Linked DNA regions of Kluyveromyces lactis. The protein of the gene in region 1 interacts with the protein of each later gene in a pairwise test. Links are inferred from orthologs where the notes say so. Each region holds a gene or a part of one and is shown in the gene's direction. Other genes may lie near its edges.

Evidence for each region.
Region 2: the proteins of VPS54 (region 1) and ARL1 interact in binary tests that used the Saccharomyces cerevisiae proteins (3 or more experiments, as listed by UniProt). The link is inferred for Kluyveromyces lactis from reciprocal best matches to the Saccharomyces cerevisiae genes VPS54 and ARL1.

What each region holds. Positions count from the first base shown.
Region 1 is NC_006042.1:414,685-419,257, forward strand, and holds VPS54 (Vps54p), read left to right. Parts: upstream 1-1,429; coding exon 1,430-3,970; downstream 3,971-4,573. Other genes in the region: RPI1 (protein phosphatase regulator REG1), read left to right, coding at 1-1,034. UniProt on the Saccharomyces cerevisiae protein: Involved in retrograde transport from early and late endosomes to late Golgi by linking the vesicle through the t-SNARE TGL1 to the Golgi, leading to the membrane fusion between late Golgi and endosomal vesicles.
Region 2 is NC_006041.1:2,193,295-2,195,918, forward strand, and holds ARL1 (Arf family GTPase ARL1), read left to right. Parts: upstream 1-1,259; coding exon 1,260-1,811; downstream 1,812-2,624. Other genes in the region: UBS1 (Ubs1p), read right to left, coding at 1-366. UniProt on the Saccharomyces cerevisiae protein: Recruits golgins such as IMH1 to the Golgi. Can bind and hydrolyze GTP. May be involved in trafficking events within the endosomal system.

The sequences.
Region 1 (4,573 bases):
TCGAACAATGTATTGCGGTTAATCATAACCCCATAGACGCTAATCCTAATGATGACGAAGTCCCAATGACAAATACCGATTACCACTCTGACGATATGTCGGACGGTGCCAGATCTTCGCATCAGTATTCTGACTTTGACGATGGATATAGAAATTCAGGGGCCAACAGCGTCGAAGATTACGCCGATGACGAAGATGATGAAGACGCTGACAGCTACGATTATGATGAAGATGACGACGAAGATGACGAAGATGATGGGTTATTTATCAGTGCACATACTAGAAAAAATCGAACCAATTCGGGGGCTAGTGATGGCACAGATGTTGCAAATTCTTTAAGATCACTCTCACTATCCAAATTTCCAAACGCAACTATTAAACCACTTCCAGCCACTACTCTAAACTACGGATCTGACGATGAATATTATGATGAAGACGAAAATGAATGGTATTATGGTAACGCAGTATCACACAATGTGAATACTAGCAGAGGATTTGACTACATGTATGATTATAATTCCGTTTACACGGGGGATACATCCAACTTTGTAACTGTGGACAATTCGTGTGATATCCTCGATGTACCGGATGGCATTGGATTAGATACTCCAATACAGGACGCGAATGACGGATATATGGATGATGACTCAAGAGGGAAAATATATACATACCATCAAAGCCTTCCGGTACAAGATGATAACGATGAACATCCGGACAACGAATTCATCGCAGATTCTTCCCAACCTGGTTTCAGTCATGATGACGAAGAGCATGACGATAACGGTGAAGAACTAGAGCTTACTGCAAAAGACCCACTATCATTAAGGCGAACCTCATCTATAGGGAAGTCTAGAGCAAATTCCATTCATGATTTTATCACACCTTCCAATTCTGCATCTCCTGTTTTAAAACAGACACATAGCTTCATCACTGGAGAACCTTTATCTCAACACAATTCGACGGTAAGAAGACCACCATTAAAATCTCCTTCATCGGGTAGCTTTTTATTTGGATCTGATTCTGATTCTGAGTGATCGCTCAAGTGCTCTTAGGTATATTCGGAGTTCATTTTTTTTATTGAGGTTAAACTTAAAAATACCACTCTACCAGCATATATATTTTTTTTTCACTACGTAAATAGTATTAATTAGAAGAACAACAATTTTTCTTGGTTTTATCCATCTGCGTAGATCTCTCGCTCAGCGCTTAATGCTTCTATTGATTAACTTGCTACGGTGTTTTATTTATGTTGAGAGAGTGCGCTTAATTATATACTCAAACTACCATGTTCACTTTCTTTTAGAAGTATCATTGAATATGTAAAAACTGAAAATCGATTAAAGTTCATATTGTAAACAGATACATACACCTTTAAGATGCATAGCAAAGAAAAAGCTGTTCCAACAGACTATAAACCAGCGAGTTAACTATGCCGGATAGGTTACTGGGAAGTGAGACACCAGCTCTATCTCTAACTCCTGATAGTAGGACGCAATTAAGTCGATCTCCACTATTGGTGCCCAGTCATGCCTCAGATGATGCTAGCTCGTTGAACGATGATCTATCTGTATTATCTAGAAACAGGGATCAAATAAGGGACAGTATGTCTATGAGGCGTAGTAGTTTTGATTCCACATTCAATTCTTTTTCTACAACGATGCATACCCAAAAACACGGTCTTGATTATTCACCGTTGGTTGATAATTCAATATATGAAATTGTGATGAACACCAGATTTAAAAGATGGTTGCGGCACCCAACCACCGAGGATATTCCCCCTGTAGTTCTAAGCAAGAACGATATTAAGGATAAATGGGACAAGGATATTAATCAATACAGAGATGACATTAAAGACGAATATAGGGTGTATCAATCGACAAATAATATATCAAAGTTGAACCGAATGGAGCAAATGAGATCTATTGATCATGATAAAACTGCCCTTGGATTGCAAAATACGAAAGCCAAGGCATTTGAAGAAATACCTGAATTCTATTTTGATAAGGAGTTCAAATTAGATCACCCCAATTTCTTTCGAATGCTTCTACGAGATTTTGAGTTTGATGCCAATCAACTACTAAATGATGATGATAAAGTTAGAAATGACAGCTATGAAGAGCTTCAAGGAAGATTGGCATTCTACTTAGATACTGTTGAGGGACTCCTTGTTTCTGAAATCTCCAAGTCTATACAAAGCTTTTTTGACGCTTTGGAAGACGTCGATAAGATTAGAGAAAATGCGACAGAGACAATCAACGAGTTGGATTCTGCTGCTGAGGCCCTTGAGAGGATAAATGGGGATAAAATCTCAAAAAGAATTGAGATGATTAAAGATCTCATAAGAAGGAAAAATGTGGAAAAGTTACAACAGGGGATCCTACAAGTAAAACTAGCGAAAGAAAAATGTGAAGAATGTAAAGAAATATATCAAGAAGAAAAACTACAAGAGTGTTTGAAATTGGTTAAAGCAGTTGAGAACTTAATAAATGGTGACAATGATGATCCCACTGTCAATGATTGGACCTCTCAGTGGCCGTACAAACTCACAAACATCTCAAGTTTTTCTAGTTTACAGGGCATAATAGACATGCTAAATAATCTGAAGGTTGACATCGGGGGATCTTACTCATTGAGTCTGGTTACCGTACTATTGGAAGATTTGAGGACGTATTCGAAGTCTCAATCGAAAAATGACACGATCATCAAATTGCAATCTAGGAAGGATAAGAACAAACCTCATTTAAAGATCGATGAGACCTTCCGAAAGCAAATCAAAGAAAATCTAATACAATTAATCGATTGTGATCAGTTGGTTCCGGCAGTGAAGCTATACGAGGATAAATTTATAGCAGAGTTGAAATCTGTTATTAAGGTTAATCTACCGCATGAGAGACAAACACCTGAAGAGTCGAAAGATGGCTCTAAACCAACTGCCGCCAATGGGTCAAGGCTATCAAAGTTGATTCAAGAACAATCATCTCAAGAGTTCCAATCAATGCTTGTAAATATATTCACTTCTGAAATCGAACTATTGAAGAGGTTAACGCGGCATCAGAAAATGCTATTAGACATTTCGCTAAGTGAATTACCGACAACGGCAGAGCAATCTGATAAGATGATTATTGATCTTGATATTCGGAAAAGCGTTAACGAGGGTATAAGGATAGTACAGCTTCGAATGGGGAAAATAATCTCAGTGAGACGGGATATCACATGTACATTACGTTTCGATCATTTCCTTCAGTTCTACGAGATATGCATGCTTTTCATGAGAGAGTGTGAATCTATAAGCGGTGAATTTCTAACGAAGTATCTTTCTGACGTATTGAACCTCCAAATCGATACATATTTGAAATCTTTACAAAATTTGAACATAAGGGTTTTGAAACAAAAGATCGATGTAGAGAGATGGACACCATTCATCGTCGAGCCCGAATTGCAAAAGGATGTCAATGATATTGTATCGTGTATTGACATTGATCCGTCAAATTGGACACGATTCATCGAGTTGAACAAACCTTCTCCATTAGACGAAACAAAGGATGAGAAGCAATCCTCTACCGGTCACAAAAAATCCGTTGTCTTAGGTGATAAGACATTCGTGGCAAGCGAGGCTCTAATCCTTGCCATCAAAATGATCAAAACTTTATTGGTACTCGCCTCAAACTTCCCATCACAGTATGCAAGACATTGCGAACGTCAATTGTCCGATGTCTTGAAATTCTTCAATACAAAGGCAATAGAATCTATATCATCATCACTGACAGACAGACTATCTACAAAGACAGATAAAAACTTGAATATCATGGCCGAATCACTTGATTGTCTAGCGGAAATAACGCTACTACTACAAGGGTATTTCCAACGTACGCTGGGATCTAAGACAGATAAGTACGAAAACATCTGGAAACAATTACAACAGTCCAGTGAGAAATTGTTCCAAACAAACAATATCCCGCCTCCTGTTTAAGACAAGTACTACCCATCGGGTAAACAGTTCACTGCGCATGATAGAATAGGTGATATCTCAGTTGTACTGAATATTTATGCATATATATTAGCAATATGAATCACGTGATAGTGTGGACTCACTATATGCGTCTGTGTATGTATCGTTACCCTGCTTTCCGTATAATATGATCGCAATTTCTAACGAGGGTCAACGTTTTCCAATGAACATCATGAAAACATTGACCCAACGAAGCTTTGAAAAGTTAGAGATTCTGATACTTTTGAATTAGAATGTTTTGTTTTGTTTACCCTGACAAAACACCAAAGTGATAGTTTTACACTGGTACCTTAAGGCGTGTGAGAGTATTAATCACTGTTCAAGTACGCGCGGCATTTCTGGTCTGTTGAGCGAGAGGCAAGTAAACTACGGAAGAGTTTTATTGACCTGTATTATTAGTAATTGCCACTTTTTTTCTAAGGTATCAATCAGTCTTATTGTCTGGGTATTCCCATCTTAAACACATTGTTTTAGGTTAAGCAGAGCATTTATATCCAGCTCGTGTCCATATTCCATTGTGATTCAATCGAGGTAACCGGGTCTTGTTAAAGCTTAATTGTTTTC
Region 2 (2,624 bases), on another chromosome or scaffold:
CAATTTTTTATGATAATCGGTGATATTAGTACAGCGACTATAAATTGATGATAACAAATGCTCATAAAAGGAGCACAACCCATAGTTCAGAAGAACAGGAGAGAGATGATTCAAGCAGATAGTCTTATTCACAGGTATGCAGGGATTAGGTGTCAAACAGTTTAATAGTATGATAGGCTCCCATTCGTTCATAGGCTTGTGGCTTATGAAAACAACACAGTAAAGTTCCAAATCTCGGCTTTCGTCATGTAGTACTATATTCCAGAACTGCAAATTTGATTCTTGTGGCTTGATATGGCATGTAGAGTGCTTATAATGGCTCAAACGTTTCCATTCCCTAAGGAGTTTCCTGTACAACGGATGCATCTTATGTGGATGTGGCCTGCTATTTGAAAGAAAAAAAAGTAGTGAAGAATAACAATTATAGGCAATGGAAAAGCCTTTCCAATAATGATATATTACCACACTTAGTTGGCAATATAGTAGTTAAGATATCCAATAATAATCACGTTACCCTTAGCTTTGCATGCAAAGGTATGCAGTCTTACTGTTTTGTATTTTTACAAATCAGATTAATATATTCTATTATTATTTTTCTCTGATTATCATTTTTGATCTACAAATTCTTCATATATTGTAGAATATGTTTATACAGATAGAAGAAGAAAGAAAATTCAGAGCATTAATCAGTACCGGTATGCCTCATGTGAGCTCTCTGCAGTTACAAACTCGCATATATAAAAAATTGAGATTGAACAAAAAAATACAGCGAGGACAATGTGAACGATACAGACTATATACGCAAGTAATTTTTACTATGTCTAATGGGGTCTCTTTGTTTGTTGTTACCCGGCCACTAAAAGGCCAACTACAATTTTAGTGAAAGGAAAATCTCAGGATCGAGTGATTAATAACACACTGCATTGGTTAGGAGTTATGATTTCATTGTATTTAATATTTCACTCATTACAAAGACATTATCTGATCTTATAGTACGAATACAATAAAATTGTTTACACATCAGGAGACAAACTTACCGCTGTCTGGATCGCTGTTTATTCGTTTATTTGTTTCGAATTTTGGCTGTAACTGGTTCTCAAATAAGAAATATTTTGAACAAGTACTTCCTAATTTTACATATCAACTAGTACAAAAGTTTTGGTTTTAAATTATTAATTGACTTATTAATACACCTTTTCTTTAATTACCAACTACCTTTGAATTGACCGCAGTACAGCAATTACTTATAAAATATCACAATGGGTAACTTCTTTAGTTCTATGTTTGATAGACTATTGGGTGCGGAAAAAGAATTACGTATATTGATATTAGGGCTTGATGGTGCTGGTAAGACGACGATATTGTACAGACTACAGATAGGAGAAGTGATAACTACAAAACCTACCATTGGTTTCAATGTAGAGACGTTAAATTATAAAAACTTGAAACTTAACGTGTGGGATCTAGGTGGACAAACTTCGATTAGACCATACTGGCGTTGTTATTACGCAAACACAGCAGCAGTTATCTTCGTTGTTGACTCTACAGATAAGGACCGTATGAATATAGCTTCGAAGGAATTGCACCTCATGTTGCAAGAAGAAGAATTGCAGGACTCCGCTCTGCTCGTATTTGCCAATAAACAAGATCAACCAGGCGCATTAAGTGCGTCAGAAGTATCAAAGGAGTTGAACTTGGCAGAATTGAAGGATAGAAGCTGGAGTATTGTTGCATCCAGTGCCATTAAGGGCGAAGGGATAACTGAAGGTTTGGATTGGTTAATTGACGTGATTAAGGAAGAACAAATGTAATTGTAGAAGGAATTGAAAACTGCATGTTTTTTAGTGCTTCCGGTCCCATTATATTTATCTACAACTGAAATGCTTTTTTAATTTGACATGACCTAAGATAGTAATAAAAATAAATGACAAAGCTAATAACAAAGTTAAAATTCGAATTGTTTACTTCCTGCCGATGCTGGCGTAATGTCCTATTGAATTCCTTTACACGCTTATTTCAATAGACATTCAATTTTCCCATGCATTTTTATTTCATCTCCAAAATCCTCCACTATTTCGTTTACGTTTGCGTATGCGTGATATAATGTTTTCTCCTATTCAAACCATTCCATCGTGCCCTAGTTTCATTATATATATAGCATATTCATAATTCGCATAATTAAGCAGTCATTATACCATGCAACCACGAATCCTTTAAATGGAACATGGTCTTGCCAACTACCACCATATCATTCAGTATATGATGTATTACTTCGCTCAACGTAAAAAGGTAAATCTCTTTGTTATATATTACAGGTGTACATTACCCCCTCGACGAATATCATATACTGGAAACAAATACCAAAAGCGGTACCTCTTTTTGATTATTATTTGCTATAGTAATAACTACAGGCATATAGCAAAAAAAAAAGTAACCGTTATAAAGATCGTGAATTGAAAAAAAAGTGTGTGTTATTAAAACGATGACAACTTATAAAAAGGTCAAGGGAGGCAAATAACTCAGGCCTGTTTATCATTCATGTTATAAGTATATGAATTGGTACACTTAGGTTTGAGGTTTTGTCAATTGGTCTTTTCAGTATAAACTCCGATTTGTCATTTTCA